Ovis aries: one gene and its partners. The protein of the gene in region 3 binds, or shares a complex with, the protein of the main gene of each other region. Links are inferred from orthologs where the notes say so. Each region holds a gene or a part of one and is shown on either strand. Other genes may lie near its edges.

The links.
Region 1: GAS8 (region 3) and TCTE1 share a complex: the UniProt entries of both Homo sapiens proteins name them as parts of the nexin-dynein regulatory complex. The link is inferred for Ovis aries from reciprocal best matches to the Homo sapiens genes DRC4 and DRC5.
Region 2: GAS8 (region 3) and DRC1 share a complex: the UniProt entries of both Homo sapiens proteins name them as parts of the nexin-dynein regulatory complex. The link is inferred for Ovis aries from reciprocal best matches to the Homo sapiens genes DRC4 and DRC1.
Region 4: GAS8 (region 3) and FBXL13 share a complex: the UniProt entries of both Homo sapiens proteins name them as parts of the nexin-dynein regulatory complex. The link is inferred for Ovis aries from reciprocal best matches to the Homo sapiens genes DRC4 and FBXL13.
Region 5: GAS8 (region 3) and CCDC153 share a complex: the UniProt entries of both Homo sapiens proteins name them as parts of the nexin-dynein regulatory complex. The link is inferred for Ovis aries from reciprocal best matches to the Homo sapiens genes DRC4 and DRC12.
Region 6: GAS8 (region 3) and IQCG share a complex: the UniProt entries of both Homo sapiens proteins name them as parts of the nexin-dynein regulatory complex. The link is inferred for Ovis aries from reciprocal best matches to the Homo sapiens genes DRC4 and DRC9.

The regions. Positions count from the first base shown.
Region 1 is NC_056073.1:17,779,403-17,783,340, reverse strand, and holds the start of TCTE1 (dynein regulatory complex subunit 5), read left to right. Parts: upstream 1-1,138; 5' UTR 1,139-3,938. UniProt on the Homo sapiens protein: Component of the nexin-dynein regulatory complex (N-DRC) a key regulator of ciliary/flagellar motility which maintains the alignment and integrity of the distal axoneme and regulates microtubule sliding in motile axonemes.
Region 2 is NC_056056.1:33,576,709-33,580,886, forward strand, and holds the start of DRC1 (dynein regulatory complex protein 1), read left to right. Parts: upstream 1-1,378; 5' UTR 1,379-1,443; coding exon 1,444-1,598; intron 1,599-4,178. UniProt on the Homo sapiens protein: Component of the nexin-dynein regulatory complex (N-DRC) a key regulator of ciliary/flagellar motility which maintains the alignment and integrity of the distal axoneme and regulates microtubule sliding in motile axonemes.
Region 3 is NC_056067.1:14,319,952-14,324,212, forward strand, and holds the start of GAS8 (dynein regulatory complex subunit 4), read left to right. Parts: upstream 1-1,461; 5' UTR 1,462-1,521; coding exon 1,522-1,524; intron 1,525-3,115; coding exon 3,116-3,202; intron 3,203-4,261. UniProt on the Homo sapiens protein: Component of the nexin-dynein regulatory complex (N-DRC), a key regulator of ciliary/flagellar motility which maintains the alignment and integrity of the distal axoneme and regulates microtubule sliding in motile axonemes.
Region 4 is NC_056057.1:45,849,464-45,853,444, reverse strand, and holds the start of FBXL13 (F-box and leucine-rich repeat protein 13), read left to right. Parts: upstream 1-1,181; 5' UTR 1,182-1,276; coding exon 1,277-1,351; intron 1,352-3,981. Other genes in the region: ARMC10 (armadillo repeat-containing protein 10), read right to left, coding at 634-772. UniProt on the Homo sapiens protein: Substrate-recognition component of the SCF (SKP1-CUL1-F-box protein)-type E3 ubiquitin ligase complex.
Region 5 is NC_056068.1:29,498,872-29,502,997, forward strand, and holds the start of CCDC153 (coiled-coil domain-containing protein 153), read right to left. Parts: upstream 2,801-4,126; 5' UTR 2,577-2,800; intron 2,458-2,576; 5' UTR 2,446-2,457; coding exon 2,376-2,445; exon of another isoform or gene 2,091-2,375; coding exon of another isoform or gene 2,051-2,090; intron 1,978-2,050; exon of another isoform or gene 1,973-1,977; coding exon 1,907-1,972; intron 1,538-1,906; coding exon 1,394-1,537; intron 856-1,393; coding exon 607-855; intron 1-606. UniProt on the Homo sapiens protein: Component of the nexin-dynein regulatory complex (N-DRC), a key regulator of ciliary/flagellar motility which maintains the alignment and integrity of the distal axoneme and regulates microtubule sliding in motile axonemes.
Region 6 is NC_056054.1:191,026,690-191,030,937, reverse strand, and holds the start of IQCG (dynein regulatory complex protein 9), read right to left. Parts: upstream 2,801-4,248; 5' UTR 2,685-2,800; intron 2,415-2,684; exon of another isoform or gene 2,178-2,414; intron 2,052-2,177; exon of another isoform or gene 2,006-2,051; intron 791-2,005; 5' UTR 649-790; intron 1-648. Other genes in the region: RPL35A (large ribosomal subunit protein eL33), read left to right, coding at 3,914-3,924, 4,124-4,248. UniProt on the Homo sapiens protein: Component of the nexin-dynein regulatory complex (N-DRC), a key regulator of ciliary/flagellar motility which maintains the alignment and integrity of the distal axoneme and regulates microtubule sliding in motile axonemes.

The sequences.
Region 1 (3,938 bases), on a different chromosome or scaffold from region 3:
GGAAGGGGAACTCGGGGAACCCATCCCCAAGTCAGAGCCTCCCTAGCTGCGAAGTTCTGGGGGCATTTAGTCAAAATTTTAGAGCAGAGCAGGCCTTCCTGACAGCATTTCTTGCGTGATTGCTCATTCTAATTGAGGCAGTGGTGATTAGTTGGTAAATCACTGATGAGGGCTTGAAAGGGGCCTGGAGCCCCTGGCCTCTGGCTGCTTGCAGTCCCGAGAGGTCGCAACTGTGGATCTTAGCTACTGTGGCAGGGGCCACTGTTCAGTACACTGACTGAAAGCCTGGATCTTAACATATAGTCACCACAGTGAGGATACTAGGGCAGGGCGGTGGCGGGGGGGGGGGGGGGGATGTTGATGAGTTAACTGAGCTTCTAAGGTTGTAACTTATCCAGGGTAACCCAGCTAGTAATCATCAGAACTGAAATTTAAGTTCTGCTTCTAGTGAACCAATCACCCTTGGTTGCTCTTCCCCTCTTGAAGGACAATTTCCTTTTCTATGAAAGCTAGTCATTTCACAGAAGCTGGTCATTCCTGGTGTCGGGCTTAGGGCTGTGGAGGGAGCGCTGTGGAGGCCTGGGGTCTTCCTGCCTGGTGCCAACTCAGCCTTGCTGACAACCTGGAGAAAGGCCGAGGGTGGCTCCAAAGGTATGCTGCAGCCAGTGGTCAGCTGAGGGCCTCAGGGGAGTTCCAAGAACTGCACGTGCCCTTCCATCATCCTCTTCCGGAAGGGAATGGCCACTGGTGCTTTTCCTGGACCGTCTTCCCACTCGTCATCCCCATCTCCATTTCCACACAAAAGGCCGGAGAAGGAAGAGCCCCGTAGTAGACCAGGAGCCCTGCCGCATCCGCAGCTCCCTGCCTTTCCCTGCAGAAACCCACTGCTCCTAAATATGTCCACTCGACGCACAAAGCATGTCCGGATGCCAGAGTTCTCACTGTCCGCTCTGGGCTCCACATAGTGCCTTAGAGGGGGACACGTATTTGCATCGATCCTGGGCCAAGGCGTGCTGCTACAACCATCGAAGTCCGGCAGCCCTGCCTTCGCACAGCGCATAGCAGTCAACCAGCTTGCGGGAGAACGCATGCGCACCCGCCCTTGAGGGCCCGCCCCCTAGCGACGCACGGCGTCCCTAACAACCTGCGTTCGTGGGGACCTGCGGGAAGGTGAGAGGCCAGGTCTCGGGAGCGGTGAGGTAACCTCTGGAGAGAGAACACCCGGCCCCGGTCTCCCCTAGCGGGCTGAGCTCTCTGCCCCCACTCTCCCCACAGGGCATGGGAGCACCCCACAGAGTCAGCCCACCTGGCCGAAGTCTGCAGGTGACCTTGGCTCCCGTGAGAAGGAAGGGCCGGCCTGTACCTATGGGAAGCCCCCACCCCCATATGAAGTTGACCATGCCTCCTTCCTCCCTACGGCCACTGCAAACTGGCTCTGCGAGTCAGGGGAGGGTCACCGGAGATGGAGAAGGGGAAAGTGGAATGAGAGTCGGTCATGAGTGAGAGCAGTCCCTAGTTCCGGGGCCCCAGCCTTCCTGGAAAGACAGAGCTCTATTCCCAGCTCCTGGGGCTGCAGTCCTTCCCGCAGGTCTAGACACTTCTACACCTCCCTCCCTCCCATGACAAAGCTGGTTATCCCTGGTCACCAAGAAGGAGGGCCCCTTCACCCCAGGCGGGTTGGGGGAGGGACTTGCTAGCATTTGGAGCTGAGGTTCCCTGGTGGGGTGTCTGAATCAAAGGTAGGGATGAGGGTGGAGTTCTTTTTTAAGACCACAGACCTAAGTGCGCAGTTGGGAGGAAAGCCTGGCCCAGGGGTGTGATAAGTGTGCAGACTGTCTCACCAGCAAAAGACCAGGGGTGCTAGGCCAGAACTCTATCAGGGAAACTTTTTTGCCCCTCTTTTGTGATTCCGCAAACTCTGAATTCCCAAATGGGAATGACTTGGCCTGAGGTGGAGTCTGACACAGTAGGCAAGATAGGGATTGGGGAAATGTAGACCAAAGCCAGGGCCCTGAGGAACAGCTGACTGAGAAGGCAGGAAGCACCACCAGAGAAGCTGGGGGATATGGGACGTCAAAGCCCAGCCCCCAAGAAGGGATGTCCAAGGCCACAGAGGTCCTCAGAGAACCTAAGGAAGGCCTGGCACTTCTGCTTCTCAGTTCAGAGAAAGAGAGGTGAGGACCAGGGGTGTGGTGAGCAGAAAGGAGAGAGGATCCTCCTCCTCTAGCATCTTCAACTTTCCCATTTAGGCAGGCAGGTGGAGCCTCTGCCCAAAGTGTTTGGATTTAACTAGGCACTTGAGAAAGATGGAGGAGGTCTGAGACGTTTCTGAGAGGAGGGAAGGTGCGGGAGACTCGAGCACTGAACCCTAGGTCTGGAAGGAACATGGAGGGCCCAAAGTGGGCCACGGGGCAGGAAAGCACAGCTCTGCGGTATCTCTTGGATCCTCGTGGGGCCTCAAAAGCTGAAGTGATCATCAGTTCTGCAGAAGGGCCCTGTGACTGGAAGGGACAGGGAGTGAGGGAGCCTGGGCTTTTCAGGTCAGCACCAATGAGGGTGACCCCAGGCTCCGACTGGAGAGAGTGTGAGGCCCACTGGAAAAGTGCTATGACAACCGAGTCTGGGCAATTTAGGAAGCAATCCCAACATCCCGTGATTTGTCTCTGCTTTTGTGCAGGGAAGTGAGGGACAGCTTTGGACAGACATTGGTTCAGAGCTCAGCTTCTCCATTTACTATGTGATGCTTAGCTAGTTACTTAAGTTCTCTAAGCCTCTGTTTTCCTGTTTGTGAAATGAGGATAATGGTGTCATAATAACAATATTTGTCAATAATAAGTCTGAAGATTTCATAGGCTTATATAGGTACAGCATCTAACATCTTTGTCATGATATCTAACACTTACCTTGAGTGTTGGCTCTGGGCCCAACACTATACAGAATGTCTCACACATGTTTCCTGGTGGCTCAGACAGCAAAGAAGCTGCCTGCAATGCAGGAGATGCAGGAGACATAGGCTCAGTCCTTAGGTCGGGAATATCCACTGGAGAAGGGCATGGCAACCCACTCCAGTATTCTTGCCAGGGGAATTCCATGGACAGAGGAGCCTGGTGAGCTATCACCCATGGGCTCACCAAGAATCAGTCATGACTGAGCGACTGACACTTTCACTTTAGGGCTTCCCAGGTGGCAGGAACGGTAAAGAACCTGACTGCCAGCGCAGAAGACACAAGAGATGCAGGTTCAGTCCCTGGGTTGGGAAGATCCCTGGAAGAGGAAATGGCAACCCACTCCAGTGTTCTTGCCTGGAGAATCCCAGGGACGGGGGAGCCTGGTGGGCTGCCATCTCTGGGGTCACACAGAGTCGGACACGACTGAAGTGATTTAGCAGCAGCAGCAGCAGCCAGTGCAGAAGACACAAGAGATGCAGGTTCAGTCCTTGGGTTGGGAAGATCCCTGGAAGAGGAAATGGCAACCCACTCCAGTATTCTTGCCTGGAGAATTCCAAGGACCGAAGAGCTTGGCAGGCTACAGTGCATGGGATTGCAAAGAGTCAGGCACGACTGAAGCGACTTAGCATGCAAGCATGCATACACATTAGCTCCTTTAATCCTCTGGATAATCTTATGAAGTAGGAACCCCAGTTACTATCCCATATTACAATAAAGAGATGGAGGCTTAATGGGGTTGCATGATTTGCCAGGTTCTCCCAGATGCTGGGGACAGAGTGGAGATTGGACCTCAGGCGGCGTAACTCCTGAATCCTGAGCTAGCTGTTATGCCGCCTCCTCCTGTGCACACACTACTGAGGGCCTGCCCTGCTGCTGCGTGTGTGCATGCTCAGTCACGTCCAGCTCCTTGCGACCCCATGCACTGTAGCCCACCAGGCTCCTCTGTCCCTGGAATTCTCCAGGCAAGAATACTGGAGTGGGTTGCCATGC
Region 2 (4,178 bases), on a different chromosome or scaffold from region 3:
AGCAGCAGCAGCAGCACGGCTTATTGACAAGGGGCTTATCTTCTTTGGCCTCACTGTTGCTTGTGATTTAAGTAGGCAGGCAGTACAGCTGAGAAAACAGTAAATTGTGCCATACCCAAGGTGGCAGGGCCTGTCTGCAATTTCTTACTACCCTAGTGCCCTTTTCCGAGTTTCTCTCAGGCCAGTAGTACAAGGTTCGATCAAATGTTATCCTGCTTGTTTTCGAATGAGTCTTAATGCTACATAAGAACGCGGTGCATTTTTTGTCGCAGTGCGACAATTGACACGTACAAAACACCCAGGAAATAGTGCTTTTCAAGGGACAGTAGTCCTTCGAAAGTTTAAATGTGCTTCTGTGCTCTTAACTTTCATTCCTCCCCCCTCACTCCCTTTCCTACCTGTTTTTCTCTGCTCTCCTCTTTTTTCTGTATGTGATTGCGGGTAGTAATGGAGGGAGTGCAGCCCTACTGAAAACCGCTACATAAGACAACGGTTCCTTGTTGGATATACATTTATTGATGGCAGGGGGTTTTCACATTCTAGAGACGATAGAGGCTGAATACACAAAGTAGGAGCTCAAACACTAATGGATGATGGGAATTCCTCCGCGGCTCAGTGGTAAAGAGTCCGCCTGCCAGTGAAGGAGACAAAGGTTGGATTTCTGATCTGGGAAGATCTCACGTGCCACGGAAGAACTAAGCCTGTGTGCTGCAACTATTGAGCCTGTGCTCTGGAGCCTGGAGACTGTAACTACTGCAGCCAGGAGCGGCAACTACCAGAGCCCTTGCGCCCCAGAGCCCTTGCTCCGCAATCAGAAGCCCATGCACTGCAACAAGGAGTAGCTCCCGCTCGCGGCAGCTAGAGAAAAACGCCTGCTGCAAAGAAGACCCAGCACAGCCAAAAGTAAAGTTATACATATTAATTTTTAAAAAGAATGGATGACAAGCAGGTGGATGCAATGTACTTTAGTTCAGAATTTCTGAGTGAACCTATTATTCTACCCCCTCCATCGAGGAAAAGACAACGCTTGGATCCTCGGAGCTAGCACAGTGATTGGCATAGAGTAGACATTGAATTACATTAGCTGAATACGGTGATTTTGAGGATTATTTATTTGATGGATGAATTAATCATAGGGTAGGTAAGTGATGAATCACAACTTGGTTCAGCTCTTAAGTCTTCCGGCCTCTGTTAATACCACCTGAGCCTTAGTGGGGGATTCAATACAGTCCTCACCGTAATTGCAGCAGAGGAATAAAACCCCAAGCTGAGACAACGGCGCTAAGAACACCAGTGCGCCCGGCCTTAGGGGCTGCGCGCGCAACCACGCCAGCTGCGGGTCAGGTGACTGCATTTCCCTGGCAACAGCTTTGTTGTTAGCAACCAAACTGTAGTCCCACGGTGGTCCAGGCAGGGCTGCCCGGGGGGCGGAAGGCACCTGCCATGAATCCGCCAGGATCCCTGGGGGTCCTGGAGGAGAAGGAGGATGAACATTTAGCCACCCCAATTCTCGGACCCTCCGTACATTCTGATAATCCTCAGGAGCGGATCCAGGCCCGGCGCCTGCGCATTGCGGCGCGCCTGGAAGCTCGGAGGCGGTGAGTCAGGGTTTGGGCGCGTTCTTCCAAGGAGCGCCCGGGGTGCAGGTGACCTGGGTGCTGGAATGAGGGGGTGGCTTCTCCAGGCCGGAGCCCCTGTGGTGAGGGGCTCGCGTGCCCTACGTGTGAGCTGGTCTTGCTTCTTGATGAGATAGAAAACTTTTCTGCCAGAAGGTTCAAACAAAGTATGTGATATTAAAGCATTGAATACACTTAGCAAAGTCAAAGATGGAAACAGGAATCCCTCCAGCACGTTCACGGAGAGCCTGCTGCGCCAGGCACTGTGGGCCGTACCTGAAGATGTTGGGGCTTCATGACCGGTCCCCCGAGATCGTTCTTTCCTCCTTGCCTCCCAGCGTGCCTTCCTTCCACAAGGGGTTACAGAGCAGACCTCGGCTATCACTTCTGTTGGTTTCAGTGGCTTAACTGGTTGTGTGACACAAAACCGTTTTCCTGCAGAGTCTGAGGCTGATAACTGTACCATTCTCAGGCTGGGGTTGCCACCCTCGTCCACTCACAGACTTTGTGGCCTGTCTTAAGAAGGGGGATCGAGGGGAACTTGCGTGAACCTGTGACTGCCTGAACACCGCACTGTGTGACAGCGCTTATACCTCGTCCTGCTGGTCAGGGTCAGCTGCCTTGCCAAGATGGTGCTTCTCTTGTTGTCTGCCGGTCTTTGGACACAAGGGGCCCAGAGTGATGTGGCTGTGTTCCAACAAAAACTTAACTTAAGGACACTGAAATTTGCATTTCATATAATGTTCGTGTGTCACAGAATATTCTTCATCTTTAGATCTTTTTTTTTAAAATTGATACACTTCATATTTTAGAGCAGTTTTAGGTTCACAGAAGAATTGAGTGGAAACTACAGAGGTTTCCCATTTACCCCCTACTTCTACACATGTATGAAGCTACCCTGGTGGCTCAGATGGTAAAGAATCTAACTGCAATGTGGGAGGCCTGGATTTAATCCCTGGGTTGGGAAGATCCCTAGAGAAGGAAATGGCAACCCACTCCAGTATCCTTGCCTGGAGAATCCCATACAGAGGGGCCTGGTGGGCTACAGTCCATGGGGTCACAAAGAGTCACACCCAACTGAGTGACTAACACGCACTCTACACATGTATAACCTCCTCCACTATCAATATTCTCCACCAGAATGGTACATTGGTACAACAGTTGGATCTTGATAAATATATAATGACATGTATCTACCCATCACAGTACTGTACTGAAGAGTTTCACTGCCCTAAAAATCCCCTGCACTCTGCCTATTCGTCTTGATCTTTTCAAAAAACCATTTGAAATGTAAAAAAATCATTCTTCACTCCTGAGCCATACAAAAGCAAGTGAATCAGATTTGGCCCATCAGCCAAAGTTTGGCAGCCCTGAGATAACAGATCAGTGTGATGCTCTGTGGGATATCCAAGTGGTCCTGATCTATCTAGACTCTAGTTTGTCAGCTCAGGAGCATTGACATGGCCCTGCAAGTATGAGGACTGTATGAGTGTGTATTATCTGTTCCTCCTCGATATGAACTTCCTAATCCTTTTTCCTGACTGAGGTAGAAATAGCATATTTGGCTCAATCAGTGGCCACATTCCAGGTACCTAAGGCCACACTTATATGTTCAAGCAAGGACCTGCATGACAGCTGCAATTAGGACTGCTGCTTGCTTGAGCTTGCAGTAATTGACAATCATTTTCTTGGCTCCATCCATCCAGTTTTTGCAGGGACCTGACCAGTGAATTAAATGGTGATTTGATAGGCACCACCACTCCCACATCTGTGAGATTCCTAATTGTACTGTGTGCTCAACCACTCAGTCATGTCCAGCTCTTTGTGACCCTGTGGACTGTAGCCCACCAGGCATCTCTGTCGATGGAATTTTCCAGGCAAGAATACTGCAATGGACTGCCATTTCCTTCTCCAGGGGATCTTCTCAACCCAGGGATTGAATCCACGTCTCCTGCATTGGCAGGCAGCTTCTTTGCCACTGAGCCACCTGGGAAGTCCTTGAGATCCCTAAGGGTGATGCTAATCCCTACCGTAGCCCTGGTATACAGTATTGCTTTTTGTGCACTTGGGTGCAGTTTTGGAGTGTCCATTTGACCTTCCATATGGCTATAGCTCTTACCCACAGGCCAACAACCTAGTGTGAGAATTTCTCAACTTTCTAAGCATGTTAAGATCACCCTTGTTGCTCTTTAGGGAATGGTTTGGAGGAACAAAGATCCTACATGCCACTTGGAGTAAAAAAACTCTGCCTTTCCAATGCAGGGGAGGCAGGTTCCATGGGGAGCGAGCTAAGATCCTACATGTACTCCCTGCATTGGAAACTCAGAGTCTTAACCACTGGACCACCAAGGAAATCCTGGATTGTGTTCTTTTTAGTATTCGAATTTTTATCCCTATGGAATATATTTTTGTATATGGTGAAATATACTATGAAAATTTAAAATTAAATCCCCCAGGCCATGCACAGCTCAGCAGAAAGATTTAAAAACAAAACAAAACAAAACAAGAAGTTAGGAAAAAAAGTGAAAGGTTTTACTTCCTAGAATTTAAACTTCATTTTCT
Region 3 (4,261 bases):
ACTCTTCATCTCGGCAGTGCACACTGATAAACCATGCTGTGCTGTTCATTTGTGACAAACGAATACCCTGTCTTGTTATCCTGAGCTAACCCTCCTATTCTTGCCCTTTTTGTTGAAAGGAATTATTGTTAATGCATTCGTTTAATTCAGGACTCCCAGCCAGAATTCTAAAGCAAAAAGCCAGTCAGCATGAGGCACCTAGCATAGTAAGTGCTAAATAATAATCATTAGCACTCTGTCCTACCAGGCTGCACTGTCTTACTTGCCAGAACCCCTGTGGGAGGAGCCTACCTTAGGGGAGAAGACCCCTATCAGACCAGACGTGTCTGACACAGGCTCAGGCTCTTGTCAGCCCAGGCACAGAGACACCATCAGACCTCCCAGAGGCCCTGGGACTGCTATAAATGTCACTCTTTGTGCAAGTCGGTTGATACAGTCCCTCCAAAGGGCCATTCCTCTCCAGGAACAATTAAGTCTTGGGTGGGCAAAGAGGAAACCCCCAGGCTCTTTTTTGTGGCTCTCTTCCCTGACCTGAGCCTTTCTCCACTATTCACACTCTGTGCCCAAGGCAGTTCTCCAGGGAGAGAAGATTCCTCTCCATTCCCAAACTGACAGAAAAGCTTGACCTGCCGCAAAACCACTATTTCATAAGATGCTAATGTTGAGTGTGGAAAACAAGACAACAAATGGTGTTGTTTTGGGTATAGGTAGCTGGATGGTAAGAGGGATCAGAAATTCTCTCTGCAATTTGTAAAGCAGTTAGCAGTTTTCAGAGCAAGAGGTTAGAGGGAAGAAAACCCCTGAAGACTTTTTTTCCCTGCAGAGCTCGTCTGGAAGCCCGTAGCAAAGGTTTCTAGTTTTTCCTCACCAGGAGGACAAAGTCTCTTTAGGAAGAGCAGTTAGTTTTTGTGAAGGGGAGACTTGTTGATTTCAAAACTGTGGACCCCGCTGGAATATAATTTTCTCGCCTTACTTTTGCTTCCTCTGAGGCTTTGTGGAAATCCAGCTGTCTTCCAGCCTCAGGTGGGAGGAATCGTCAAAGGGGGGCAGGGTGAGGTGAGGCCCCAGAGCAGAGGTTCCGCGAGAATTTGAATCTAATTTGGGTAAAGTCGCGGTGTGGCCGCCTCCCCTCGCTCACTCTTTGAGTTCATGCACTGTAGGTCTTGTACCCACGTAGAGTACGTAACAAGTGGACGGAAACCGTTCCTCCAACCTCCGTGGAGCTTAACTTTTAGTGGGGAAGACCCGCAGTAAACAAGACCTGTCCCGAAAGGAATGCGTTCCCAGGTATCTTGGAGAGGTAGCTTGTGGATAATGTCCAGCTTCGGCCCAAATCTACAGACTCCGCCTGGTTAGTTGCTAAGGACTCCCGCCGTTGCGAGGCACCGGCCCTGCCTGCGGGGTATCGCGATGGTTCTCGAGACTTCGCGCGGGATCGTGCAGTCGTTGCCTGGAGACGGCGCATCCTGGGAAGGCCGGGCACTTTGGTTTGTTGGTCCACGCAGGCGGGAAACCACAACCATGGTGAGGCGGTCTCATAGGGTCCGCGCCGGAGCCCTAGGGCTCAGGGGTCGGCTGGCCTTGGGCGCTGGGAGTCCCCGGGACGGGAGATCTGGAGCTTTGGGGTCTTGGAGCTGCGGGCTTGGTGCTCTAGGGGGTGGGGGGCGGGGTGTCCTCGCAGACGCGGCTTCCCCGTGGAGCTGAGAGACTTGGTCTCTCCAGAATCTTGTACACACCCGGGTGGTGGTCAGAGAGCACCGTCTCTCCCGCCCCCAGACCTAGGGACTGGTGTGCACGTGTCCGGACCGGAAAACCTGGGTCGAGTGGCTACCCTACCTGGAATGGAAGGCTCATTGATCAGATCCTTGGGAAACAGAGGTCCTCCAGCCTCTGGGATCGGGAACCTGGGGTATACCATGGTGGCCAGAGGGTCCTGACAGCGGTTCCAGCGCACGTAAAGTCCCCAGGGCAGAGCTTGGGCAAACCTGAGAGGAGTCAGGCGGGAACTGAGCAGAGTGGAGCTTGCTGCCTCTGGGCTTCTCAGTCCCCACCCCTCTGTGGTAGGGCTCTCAGCTGCTCACTCCCCCCTGTGCTGTATGGGCTGTAGGTCACCCAGTTTCCAGGCAGGTGTGGCAGGGTGGCCATCAGTGCGGGGACCCCTCTGTGTGTGGGGGCCCCAGGGGCTCTAGAGGCCCCAACCACTGCCTTACTCCCAGATGCTGAGTAAGCTCCTGGGCTCTTCTGATGGGTTGGACTTCTTGGAGTAGAGGGTTAGAAAGAGGGCAGTGTTTTAGGAGTGAAGATTTCAGCGGTTCTGTCTTTTGCAAGTCAGCTGGGAAAAGATCACCAAAATACATCTACTTTCACTAACTTGAGGGAAATATGCATGATTTTCCTTTTTTTTTTTTTTTGTTACTATGCTTTCTAACATTTCCTCATAAACTTTTTTGGTAATAAAAATGTTACAGAGACGTGCAGATGCATGCCTCTTTATAGACAAAAGCATGAGCCACAGAAACTTGTGAGAAGTGAGGGCAGAGGATAAGGCGTTAGTTTTCTTTCTGTTGAGTGGCCCCTGGAGACGCAGTGGGGCAGAAGGTCCCCTCTGGCACCGTGGAGAAGTGGTTAAAAGCAGGCGTCACCGCACTGACAGAGCCCACAGTGTGTGAGTGCCAGTCTGTGCCAGCAGTCTTCACCCCCGGTCTCTGAGGCACCCACCTTGCGCCCATGGAGCGATATATTGCAGGTTTCTCTCTGGCACTTGCCAAGCACTATAGTCTGTGCTGCTGGGGATACTCCTTTGTGAGGCCGAGTAGCTTTTGCTCCACACCAAGGAAGTCTCTGCTGTATACAAGGAACATGTTCTCCCTCTTCCTTTCTGAGGGGAAGCAATATTCTCTTCTGAGAAGGGAGATTTCTCTTTGCTGTCCACAGAATATGCCTGTGGTTAAGGATGGGAAACCTTAGGGCAGAGTGAGGCGGCCCGGGTGGAAGCCTGAGACAGTGGGCAGTCAGATAGAGGTTCCAGGCAGAAATTCCTCTCCCGAATGGCCCTGAAAGGGAATGAACCAGCCAGAAGTGAACCCTAACCCGACCATGTATTCTTCAATCCAAGGCGCCCAAAAAGAAAGGGAAGAAAGGCAAAGGCAAAGGCACTCCGATTGTTGATGGGCTGGCTCCGGAGGACATGAGCAAGGAGCAGGTGAGCGGGCTGGCTGGGCCACGGCCCCTTGCTGGGGCAGGTGGGATGGGTTTGCTGCCCCACGCTGGTCCTAGGAAGTTCTTTTAGACTGCAGCACCCCGGCTCCTTGTCTGCTTCCCCTCAGTCTGGCTCCTGCCGTCTGCCCACACCAGGACATGTGAAACAATGCAGCACGTGTGATGGGTAAACTTTCCGCTAGGGTAGTAGGAACTTGGAAGGAAATGTTTTTCTGATATAAAGCTATTTTAAGTTTTCTTTCATTCTTACCCTTTTTAGGCCCCTACTGTTTACGGAGATGTTAATCATAGTATATACACTTACAGCATTCTCATTTATTTGATTTACCATTAAACACTGTGAGTTATTTTAGGCCGCATGTTCATTTCGATGACATTAAGAGCTAGGGAACATGATTTGATTAATTACAGTTTCAATTGAAAGGCTCCCAAAACCTATAACTTGCGCAACCCATGAGAGCAGATGTGGTCTGGAAGTGTTCATGACCCTTACTTACTTTTGATGGTTTTAAGATAAAAGAAATCAAGGGAGATTCAACAAGGCATAAGACCTGAAGATGGAGAGCTGGGCAGAGGCCCTTGAAAGTGGTGAACAGGCTCTCTTTCTCACACAGGGAAGCCATCGGCAGTCTGTAGAGGGTAATGAGGTCAGGCTGTGCTTCGAGGGGGTCACTGGGGATGCCTCATGGAGGTTGGCTTACCCGCTGTGTCACCCCAACAATCAGACTGTTTCCTGCCTACAGGTTTACTTCCTGTCCTGTGACACGGCAGGGGTCAGTCTGCAGAGCTTGGAGGCTCTCGGGGTCCAGGCAGTAGTAAGATGAGAGATTCAGGCCAGCTGTGGTCAGATCTGAATTTGGCAATAAGGAGTTCATGATCTGAGCCACAGTCAGCTGCCAGTGTTGTTTTTGCTGACTGTATAGAGCTTTTCCGTCTTTGACTTCCAAGAATATAATCACTCTGATTTCGGTGATGGCCATCTGGTGATGTCCATGTGTAGAGTCTTCTCTTGTGTTGTTGGAACAGGGTGTTTGCTATGACC
Region 4 (3,981 bases), on a different chromosome or scaffold from region 3:
GCAATCTACACACTTCTGGAAAACTTAATCCTCCTCTGTGCCACCAGACTTGGGCAAGAAAGTTACAGCAATTATCCATCCTGGTATTTTCAAAAAAAGAAATGAAGGTAGGGAATCGAACCCTACACTCATCCAATTAAGATCCGCCTTTTGCACCTGGGCTTCCCGACCTGGCTCTTCTCACCATCCTCCCTCCCTGGCTGGGCTTCTTATTTACTCCCAGCACAAGGAAGCCATAGAGAAGGAAATGGCAGCCCACTCCAGTACTCTTGCCTGGAGAATTCCGTGGACAGAGGAGCCTGGTGGGCTGCTGTCCATGGGGTCGCACAGAGTCGGGCACGACTGAAGCGACTTAACGTGCATGCATGCATTGGAGAAGGAAATGGCAACCCACTCCAGTATTCTTGCTTGGAGAATCCCAGGGACAGCGGTGCCTGATGGGCTGCCGTCTGTGGGGTCGCACAGTCGGACACGACTGAAGCGACTTAGCAACAGCAGCAGCAGGGAAGCCAAGAGCTTCCAAGCAAACGCATTAAAAGATCAAACACAATGACGGGGAGCTCTTGCAACCCCTCATCCAGGGAAAGGCCCAGCCCCAGTCCTCGCCACCTGCCAGGGACTCCGTGGCCTTACCTGCGGACCGCGAGGGGCGCAGCCGAAGCCGGCGGCCGCCTCGTCTCCGGCCCCGCGTCAGCTTGTAGAAGCAGTAGCAGGCGCCGGCCGCGAGGATCAGGCCCGCCGCCACCCAGCCCACGTCCCGGGCGCCGCCCATGCTACCTCTGGGGCCGCGCACAGCGCTGGGCCCGGCGCGGGAGTGTCCGGAGCCAGCGGGTCCAGGCGCCGCCGCCCGGGATGACGCCGCGGGAGAAAGGAAATGGGGGACTGAACTCCGCCTCTCAGAAACCGCCCTGCTGAAAAGTGAAAGAGTCCACTCAGCCCGTACGCTTCCTGGCGGCTTCCTGGAGAGTGGGCGGGGCACGGCTGGAGGCGAGCTAGACTGGGTGAAGCGCTGCAAGCACTGCACGCCCCGAGAGCACTCGCCGGGGGCCGCCCCGGACGCCCGGAGGCGGGTCCCTGCCCCGGCCCGAGGCCCGCCCCTCTTCCGGGCAGGCCACTGAGGGCGCGAGGCAACGCAATGCCTAGCCCCTCCTCCCACGCCGCGCGGTTGCCGTGGCAACGCCGGGACGCGCTAGCCCCTCGCTCAGGAGTGGCTCTTGCTGCTCCGGGCGTGGGGAGGGCCAGCGAGCCACGCAGGATTTCAGTAGGGGCTCAGGTCATGGCCTCGCTGCGCCGGGCCAGCCCCAGGCTGAGGAAATACTTCAGGGAGAACTACATTCCTCAGGTCTGCGAGGTACTGGAGCCACATGGCGGCGGAGTTAGAAGAGGGAAGAATGGGCAGAGAATTCCCAGAGGAGGGACTGGAGTTTGGCGAAGAGAGGAAGTGGAGGTTAAGAGGAGCGAAAAGGGAAGAGATGAAGTCAGCTTTGGACAGGACGGCGGTCCGGGCTGAACATACATATCAGAGAGTTGAAGCAGAGGGGTGAAGGTGGCTGAAAGGGGGGATGAATGACATCTCCCAGGGAGAAAGGGGGAAAGACCTCAGGACAGAAACCCCAAACGCCAACTTTCCAGATTTGGATAAGAGGAACTAAGGACTAGAGGAGTGAGGATGAAATGCCTTGGAGATAGAGGAGGAAAAGCAGAAGAGTATGGCTTTATGAAGAAAGTGGGCAATAGTGTCACCTAAGATAAAGACTTGAAAAGTTGTAGTGGATTTGGCCCAGGGTAAGTGTGGGTTTTCAATGGAGTGATGAAGGCAGAAAATAGATTGAGGTTAGCTGAGGAGTGGAAACTGAGATCTTTAGATAGAAAGCAGTCAGCCCTTTGTGTGAAAGGAAGATCCACACAACCAAGGCTTAAATGGGAGGAAAGACTGTCCTTCCCCACCCATCTTGTAACAGGAAGGAAGCAGGACAAGGGGTGGGTAGGCTTTGTAGGCTCCGAGTTAGAAATCCAATAAAATTATCTTCTGGTGACTTCCATTTTCTCTACAAATATGAGGTGAAATGTTTGTCAAGATTGAGGATGTTTGGCAGGGGATGCAGTTGTAGAAGGAGTTTTGAGTAGTTAAGTTATTCAGACAAGGAGGGAGAGTTAGAAGTCCAGGGAAGGAGAGAGAAGGAAGGTGAGGCAGTGTTGAGAGTCCAGCTGGGGGAGTGACTGTCCTACGCAAGTGGGAGGGCAGTTCAGTACAGCCCCCTCCTTTGGGGATGGTAATTTTCAAATATTTATTAAAGTGTTAAATATGAATACCCTTTAACCAAGCATTTCCACTTCTGAGGATCCACTTTAGAGACATACTTGCACATGTAACCAGAAGGATGTACAAGTATATACATTGTAACATTGTCACATAGTGAACGTGGTAAATAAGTCTAAATAAGGGAATGGGCTATTCTGTAGAACAATATATACCTGTGCCTTAAGACAAAAATGCAAATTGCCTAACAAAGTGTACTAACATCTAGCTACCTGAATTCATACTTGTATGCATATGTGTATATGTATATAAGTGTGTTTTTATATGTGTATATATATATGTAAGACAATAATATATGCATAGAATATATGGCAAACTATTAACAGCAAATGTTTTGGGTCTAATCTTTTACTTCATATACATCTGTAGGGTTTTAATTTTTTTATGATGAGTTTCATTCATGTTTTACCTCTATACAATTGTATTTGAAAATGTGTAGAAAGCTTGCTATTTATCTTCCCAGTTGCATGGTTTTCTCAAGCAGCACTCAGTAAATCAGACCTAAGTATACAAATAAGAGCTGATTTCATTCAGGATAGGAGTTTGCCACACATATATAATGGAAGGGCAGTGGGGAGGGAGCTAAGCTTTTGAGAGTGCCTAAAGTGATGGGCCTAGGACTCTAAGGACTGGGTGGGATATGAGAACAAGACATAATACTGATATGTGGGTAGAAAGTGGAAGTTTGTAAGAGGTGAATGAAAAAGGGTAGAGGGAGTATTTGAGTGAGGGAGCTGGAAAAGTAGGAGGTGGGGGCCACAAAGTGGAATGTGCACAATTACCTCTCAGAATCATCTTTTTTTTTCTATTAAAATTTTTTCTTGGTTAGATATATTAACACATGACTTCATAGTATACAATTTCAAACTTTTATAAAGAAAATGAATTTTAGTTTCCATGCGGAGAACCTGAAAAATCTGTGGATCATCGATTTTTCCTTTTTGAAACCATTTTTGTACTATCATCAATGCAAATAGGCCTGGAGGGGTGAAACTATCCTCACACCCAGAGCTGGGGAGGAAGACGGAGCCTCTTCAAAGAATCTAATACAGTCATCCCTCAGTATTCTCAATGGACTTCCCTGGCTCAGATGGTAAAAGCCTCTGCCTACAATGAGAGAGACCTGTGTTCGATCCCTGGGTCGGGAAGATCCCCTGGAGAAGGAAATGGCAACCCACTCCAGTACTCTTGCCTGGAAAATCCCATGGACTGTAGCCTGGTAGGCTACAGTCTGTGGGGTCACAAAGAGTCGGACATGACTGAGTGACTTCACTTCACTCAGTATCCTCAGCTTTGGTTCCAGGACCCCCATGGATACTAAAATCTGTGCACACTATTTACATACAACCTACATCCATCTTACTGTATAAATCACCTCTAAATAAATCATCTCTAGATCACTTATAGAACCTAATCCAGTATAAATGCCATGTAAATAATTGCCTGCACTTAGAAAATTAAAGTTTTGCTTTTTGAAACAATGGAATTTTTCCCCAGTCATTTTGGACCCACATTTGATTGATTCCATGAATGAAGAACCTGCAGATACAGAGGGCTGACTGTATTTATGATTCAGTGTGAAGCCATTCTGAGTCATAGCTATGTCCAAGTTGGCCATGGAACAGGCAGCACAAGTGGACTTGAGTGGAGGATCAGGGAAG
Region 5 (4,126 bases), on a different chromosome or scaffold from region 3:
GAAGATACGGAGGTAAGTAATTCAAACAGTTATATTCAAGCTTGCTTTCATTCTAAACATCAGCCAAACTAAGAGAGACTGTGTTTTGCTCGTGAGAGACATGTGGGCAGTGGGGAGTAAGAACTGTCTTTAGAGAGACCATTGAGAGAGGGAGGTGCAGTGAGAAAGTTAGGGCTTCTTCATTTATAACTAAAAGGTTAAGATTGGGTATTTTTTGCTATCCTGAACCTTCTGTTGCAAGTAGTAGAAGAGTCAGTGGGGGAAGACAGTATGAGAGCTTAAATTGCAGTTTTCTAAAGAAAGACCATTCTAACTCCACCCCTTCAGGCTGGACTACATCAGTGTGATCCTCTGAGAGAAAGTGCTGTGAGGGCAGGGTGTGCTGTGTGTGCGTGCTAACTCGGTTAGTGCTTGACTCTTTGTGACCCCATGGAATGGGGCTATCCAGGCTCCTCTGCCCATGGGATTCTTCAGGCAAGATTACAGAGTGAGTTGCCATGCCCTCCTCCAAGGGATCTTCCCGACCCAGGGATGGAGCCCACATCTTTTAAGTCTCCTGCATTGGCGGGCGGGTTCTTTACCACTAGGGCCACCTGGGAAGCCTACCTAACTGCTCCTGCAGGCCCTTCACTTCTTCCTCCAGCTTCCTGGTGCGACTCTGCATCGCCTCCTGCAGGCTCCGGCACTGACGACTCATCTCTGGCAGAGCCGTGGGTGGCCAGGGACCCAGATGGGGAGAGAGCAGTGGAGAAAGGACAGAAGTTGTGGGTGGGGAGGGCTCTGCTTGGTCCAGTGGACAAGTGCATAAAGGTCTGTTGAGGGCCTTCCCTGGCAGTCCAGTGGTTAAGACTTCACCTACCAATGCAGGGGACGCGGATTTGATCCCTGATCTGGAAGCTAAGATCCCATATTCCTCAGAGCCAAAAAACCAAAGCATAAAACAGAAGCAATATTGTAACAAATCCAATAAAGACTTTAAAAATGGTCCACATTAAAAAAAAAAAAATCTTAAAAAAAAAAAGTCTTCTGGATTCTTGTGGTGATCTGAGAAGGTAGGGACAGAGCTAGGAAATAAGACACCCATCCGCTATGGTAGCTCAGTATGTGAATTCAGGCCCTCCTTCCCACCCACTCCCACGGGAGGAGTGAGATAAAGGCTAGGGCTGCGTTTCATAGTCCACGGGACATCAAGCACAAAGCACTGCATGTCACGGAAGGTTCCTGCCCAAGACCACAGAAGGCCCCCTCAGGATTCCTGTGGGTGCAGGGAGGGCTGAGGCTAGGTATGGCGGTTCGAAGTCCTCCTTGTCTCCCTTTCTAGCATCCTTGGGCCCTCCCAGTTGTCCTCTTCCGGGCCCCTGTCTCCCGCCCACCTGCTCGATCAACCTCACACCTGCATATATGGCCTTCCCTTCGCTCCGGGCCCCCTCCAGTTCAGCCTCCAGGTCTTTGATCCTCTGCTTCAGCTGGTCTTCCGAAGCCTTGGCTCGGCGGGCTTCATCCCTCTGCAGAGCTGTGAACAGTCCAGAGCAGCCCTCTGCACTGGTTGGGGGCTCCACTCAATCAATCAGCCCCCATGGCCTTGATGGACTCTGTCCACCTTCAGAAACCTGGCGGCAGCCTGCCAGTCTCTCATCGTCATTCTGTTTCCCTTCCCCGCCTCAGAATCCTACAGACTCTGTTACTAAGAGGGAAAAACTCCCTCTGTGTTCCAGCTATAAAAGTTAGCTTTCTTTATCAACCCTCACGGCCCACCCTGTCCTCATGACCCCAGCTCTTGACAATCTTTTCCCATTAGGGGATGGTTAGAGATCAGCTCAGCCCTCCACCATTGTTCCAAAACTTTAAGCTCCCAGGGATACACAAATGCCCACTGTCTCTGTTGCCGAACTTCTACCCTTCTTACCCAAGCGGTCTTGGAGCACCTCCTTTTCCAGCAGTGCCAGCCTGTGCATGGATTCAGCCTCCACATCTGCCCTGGCAAGACAGCAGACCCTCAGCTTGTCAGGATCTCAGCCTTCCCTACCCTCCTCCCACCCTCCTCCCATACCCTGGACTTCTCTTTTTTTTGTGGGAGATACAAGGACCATTAAATGAGGGATCTCTGATAGCAAAGCCTAATGAGTTCACTACCCAGCTCACAGTAGGTATTTGAAAGATTGTAATGAATATACAAGGAAGGCACACAGCCAGAAGGGATTCATGGGTGCTGATTTTCCCATGTTCCCAGCTCCATGGCACCCGAATATGGATATAAAGGGGGAAGGCCAAGACAGCTCCATCTTGTCACGCAGAGGGATGAATTCTCTCTGGAGGTCTCTGAGCCAGAACAAGGAGAGGCTGGGAGGCACCCACCTCCACCCAGTCTGACTCACCAGCACCTGCATTTCTTTTCTTCTTCTGGGCCCCAGCTTTTGTCCCTTTTTCTTTGGTCTTAGGTGGCATCTCCTTCCTGTCCTGGAGGGAGGGAGGGGGCTCATATTTAGGTCTGGACATGGAGACACTCTCCTGACTCCCTAGACGGAACCAGGAGTCCCAGGAGAATTAGTGCTCTCATCTCCAAGTCTGTCTCTTACACTTTCCAGAAGCTTCAGTTCTTGGTTTCCTTGGAAACTTAGGCAAGGCTGGGGCCAGGGGGAAGGATGAACCCATTTCTCTCTACCAGTCAAGCTCTAAGTACAGAAATCATTCCTCTCAACCCTCTTTCAGAGAAAATAAAGCTCAGTACCTGGCCCCTTCTCTCTTCCCATCATCCTTACCCTGCCTCTTCCTTCCTCCAAGACCCTCACTTGTCTCTGTTGTATCTCCCTGTGGCGTGACCCACTTTCCAGGAGGGGCAGAGAAAAGGCCCAACCAGCTAGGAGCCGGAGGAGGAGATTGTGTTCTGGGACCCAATCCAGAGTGGCAAATTTCATTTGGGGGTGGGACTGAGAACTGGAAGGTTGGGCTTCTGGAGGCTGCACGTTGTCCAGGCAACTGGGAAACATGGAGCTGTTAGGAAGGTACATGCATGCTTGCTCAGTCGTTATAATTGTGTCTGGTAGAAGGGGCTAAATACAATGCTTAAAATACCAAGGTCTCAGAGGGCCAATACTCTTCTTGTCCCCAGATCCTAAGTGTAGTTTGAGGAGAGAGGGCTTTGGAACTGATTAAATATGATTCACTTCTATGTAGCACTGCCTGCAATTTGGACACTTACAAATTATAGATTTACACATCCAAAATAATGCTATTGCGCTGATACAGAGGAAAAGAACTCACGGTAGCCATTTGGGGTGATTTACATTTCCCAAAGTCTCATCAACAAAATGACATTATTAAATAGGCTTAAAATTGAAGATTTCAGGAAGGTATTCTACGGTGAATGAGGGAAAGAAATTCAGGAGATGGTGGTTGAGAGAGTTTCCTATTTCAGATAAATGAGACACAGAGGAGAGTTCGACCTAGGACCTCAAGGTGCTGTGCTAAGTCACCTCAGTCGTGTTCGACTCTTGCAACCTCTTGTGACCCCATGGACTGTAGCCCTCCAGGCTCCTCTGTCCATTGGATTCTCCAGATAAGAATACTGGAGTGGGTTGCGATGCCCTTCTATCCTGACATAGATGCAAATCAAGAAGAAAGGGTACTGGTTAGAGACAGGAGCTTTTGAGTTCTCATCCTTACCCTTCTCCAGATATGTAAATTTGGGTAAGTCATTTTCCTTGCTCAGCCTCAGTTTCCTAAATCTTTGATTTTGTAAATCTTGAAAGGCTTGGATTTTCACCAGGTATTTACAGGACTATCTTCTTTTATGGTGACTTAATATATTTCCTCTTTCTCCCTATTCCTGTCTGTGGTTGATTTTCAGACAGGTGCTGAGAAAATAACCAGCTTGGTTCCCTGTGGCATTGAGTTGATTTGGGCTCCCTCTAGTGGATTTTCTTGACCTTCTAGTAAGTCTCCTGAATTTTTCTATTTAAATTATTTATGGAGCAATGTTGGGGGCACCCCTCATTTAGGGGTGCTGCCTAGCATCTTGCTGGAGTCACGAATAGTTGGAAAAATAAATCTGGGGAAGGGAGAACGCTGAGTGGCTTGCCCTGGTTAGCTGTTCCCTCCCCGAAACCCCTCTCTCCAGCCTTTTGCT
Region 6 (4,248 bases), on a different chromosome or scaffold from region 3:
TCACATAAGTAATAAAGGCCTATGCTTAGTGCTTTCAAGTTCTGGCTGCTCATTCCTCAACGCTAGAAACTCAGGAGTCATTTCTGCTTCCTCCTTCATCCTGACATCAGCATTCCCCCAATTCAAATCATCACCAGGTCCTGTGGATTTTACTTTCAATTTCTATTTCCCCCAATACCCTGCTGAATCTAGCTGTTGTTTCTTGCTTGAACTACTCTAACAGCTTCCAAATTAAAGGTGATCTTTTTGAAATAAAGGGCTCATCGTATAAAGTTGAAAATTTCATTGTATTTCTTAGAACCTCTCAATGGTTTCCCATTAACTTAAGAAAAAAACTAAAATTCTTAACTTGGACCATAGGGCTGCTCCTCTGTTCCTCTCCAGATGCATCTAGCACTGCCCTTTTATTGCTCTCATGGGTCCAGCTTCAGTGGGCCTCTTTCTTCTAAAGAATCATGCTCTCTTCTAACTCAGGGTGTTTGCATATGCTATTCTTTCAGCTTGAACCACTCTTCCCCTAATCTCTTCCACCTTGTAAAGTCCTACTGGTCCATCAGGTACCAGCTTCAACCAGTGGCATTTTGCTGTGTATCTACCACTTTGCCCAGCTAGAGCCAAGCTCCATGAACCATTTTTTTCTCACACCACCTTCTATTTTACTTGCTCCTTGTCTTGCTCTCCTACTAGGATGTAAGCTCCATGAGGACACAGATTTCTGTTGTTCTGTTTACCGCAGCATCCTCCAAGCCAAGAAGAAAATTTCGTACATGGTAGTCAGTCATTCAACAAACTGTTGGAAAAAAAGAATGAATCCATCAGTTCAGTTCAGTCGCTCAGCTGTGTCCGACTCTTTGTGACCCCATGAATCGCAGCATGCCAGGCCACCCGGTCCATCACCGTCTCCTGGAGTTCACTCAGACTCACATCCATCGAGTCAGTGATGCCATCCAGCCATCTCATCCTCTGTCGTCTCCTTCTCCTCCTGCCCCCAATCCCTCCCAGCATCAGTCTTTTCCAATGAGTCAACTCATTCTCATGAGGTGGCCAAAGTACTGGAGCTTCAGCTTTAGCATCATTCCTTCCAAAGAAATCCCAGGGCTGATCTCCTTCAGAATGGACTGGTTGGATCTCCTTGCAGTCCAAGGGACTCTCAAGAGTCTTCTCCAACACCACAGTTCAAAAGCATCAATTCTTCGGTGCTCAGCCTTCTTCACAGTCCAACTCTCACATCGATACATGACCACAGGAAAAACCATAGCCTTGACTAGACGGACCTTAGTTGGCAAAGTAATGTCTCTGCTTTTGAATATACTATCTAGGTTGGTCATAACTTTTCTTCCAAGGAGTAAGCGTCTTAATTTCATGGCTGCAGTCACCATCTGCAGTGACTTTGGAGCCCCCAAAAATTAAGTCTGACACTGTTTCCCATCTATTTCCCATGAAGTGATGGGACCGGATGCCATGATCTTCATTTTCTGAATGTTGAGCTTTAAGCCAACTTTTTCGCTCTCCTCTTTCACTTTCATCAAGAGGCTTTTAGCTCCTCTTCACTTTCTGCTGTAATGGTGGTGTCATCTGCATATCTGAGGTTATTGATATGGATTCTCCAAAGAGCAACACAAATAATGTGCAATAATTAGGAAAGGTAAATCTCAGGCATCCACTAAGCTATCCCATTCCAGTGCACAAATATTTACTGAAGACCAATTGGACATGGGCTAGGTGGCAGGCACTTGGGAGTTTAGCAACTGCTGTCGTTGTTAAGTCGTGTCCAACTTTTTTGTGACCCCATGGACTCTAGCCTGGCAGGCTCCACTGTCCATGAGATTTCCCAGGCAAGAATACTGTAGTGGGTTGCCATTTCCTTCTCCAGGGGATCTTCCTAACCCAGGGATGGAACCTGCATCTCCTGCATAGGCAGGGGAATTTTTTTTTTTTTTTTACCGCTGAGCCACCAGGAAAGCCCTTTGGCAGCTGAGTTCTCCTTAAAAGGCAACAAGACTTTGTCAGGGATGTTCTCTTCACCCTCGGAGTCAAAACGAAGAACGGCGGTAAGAACTTAAGTCATTTCTCTAAAGAGATAAAGGGGTAAAAGGAGGAAAGGATTAAAAGGGTGGTAAGGGGCGGAGGGTGGTTTCCAGGTGGCTCAATGTGTAAAGAATTCGCTTGCAATGCAGGAGCCAAAGGAGACGCTGGTTCGATCCCTGGATCGGAGAGATCCCCTGGAGGAGGGAATGGCAACCCATTCCAGTATTCTTGCCTGAAGAACCCCATGGACAGAGGAGCCTGGCGCGCTGCAGTCCATAGGGTCGCAAAGAGTCGGACACGACTGAACAAGGTCGCAGAAAGGCAGAAGAGGGCTTCCCAGGTGGCGCTGGTGGTAAAGAACCCGCCGGCCAATCCAAGAGATGCAGGTAAGCTCCTAGGGTGGGGAAGATCCCTTGGAGAACACGGTAACCCACTCCAGTATTCTTGCCTAGAGAATCCCAAGGGTAGAGCCTGGTGGAGGACGGTGCATAGAGTCGCAAATAGACGCGACTGAGTATATATGCATGCAAAGGGGTAGGAAAGGTATAGAGAATTAAGAGCTTTCTCCTCCTTTCTTGCTCGCGGTCTTTCTCTTCCAGGCTAGGATCCGAGAGCTTCCGTTTGCCCTACTCCTAAGTGGTAAGAAGGAAAAATACCCGCTTGTTGGCGAACCAGTTCTAGGGTACTCGAAGCGTAGGTCGTCCTCCCCTCCGGCTTCACTTTGCCAACTACACCCCCGGAGGCCGTCGGAACCAAGCTAAGGTGTTTCTGTGGCAACGGACAGCTTCGGAGGACCTTTTCTTCTCTTTTAGCTGGCTACTATTTTGCCTCCCTGTGTTCCAAAATAATACATTTTGCAGCTTACAAAGATAAAAGGACTTAGGGAGAGAATTGTACAGGTGATTTTGAGCGTGGTTCATTTCAGTCAGAAGGCGATTTCTGAGGCTTTTTTGGCGGTCGCGGAAGTTACCTAAACGGGGGCGGGGCGGAGATGTATTTACCCACAAGACCACGCGGCGGGTCCTCGCTGGTCTCTTTCAGCCATCTTGGACCCTGTGAAGGTGTGTAGACTTCCTGCAGCTGAACTTTGGGGGCAAATAAGTGGGGTAGGCTCGGCTATATCCCTCGGACGAGGCACGGGTGTGACTCCGAGGCTCTACCAGCTAACGATTTCTGTGATTTCCAGCAACGGGGAGGACAGGATGGAGGAGATATGGGACTGATGGTGCTGGTTCCCTGACCTCCGAGAATGGGTGCTCCGGTAACCAGTTGCTTCCGGGCCCTAGCGGAGTAAAATACAAAACAGATGCATTTTGTCTGGCAGCAGCGGCACCTTTAGGCAGGGTTCTTTGTCCATTTACTGCCACCTCAAACCTGTGTTCTGCATGTTTACTGTGTCTTTCCTTAGCTTTTCTTTCCCGTTCAGTGTGGCTTCCCTGGTGGCTCCCACGGTAAAGCGGCTGCCTGCAATACGGGAGACTCGGGTTCGATTCCTGGGTCAGGAAGGCCCCCTGGAGAGGGGAATGGCAATCCACTCCAGCACTTTTGCCTGGAAAATCCCTAGGACGGAGGAGCCTGACAGGCTACAGTCCGTGGGGGTCGCAAAGAGTCGCGACTCTTGAGTCGCACGACTGAGCGACTTAAGTGTGTAAAAGTGTTGTTCTTAAGACTTTCTTTTGGTGTTTCTAGCAGTTATGTCTTGTACTGTAGAATTTTGCCACTTTAGTTATCTTCATTTTGGCGTTTGCTTAGTTACTTAGCATTCTTTGAGTTTGGGGTGCTGTTCCACAGGAAGCTAGTAGGTTGGAAACGGGCGTTGCGGGGTTTTAAACTGAGTATTTTTGTTTGCAGGCCTGCTGGGAACGGGACTTCTAAAACGACAAATATGTCTGGAAGGTATGTGTTTTAAATATCATTGCTTTGTACTTACAAGTGTACTTGTTTATAAGGCATGATCGTAAATGTAAGTTTAAGTCTGGTGGGGAAAAAAAATAGATGTTTGGTGTAGGTAAATTTAGGTGGGGATCATCACAAGTCAAACCATAGCTGTTGCTTGTTGAAGTTAAGTGAGATTTTAACAGCTTAGAATTAACAGTGTATTTTGTCTTAGGCTGTGGTCCAAGGCAATTTTTGCTGGCTATAAACGGGGTCTACGGAACCAAAGGGAACACACTGCTCTCCTGAAAATTGAAGGTGTATATGCTCGAGATGAAACTGAAT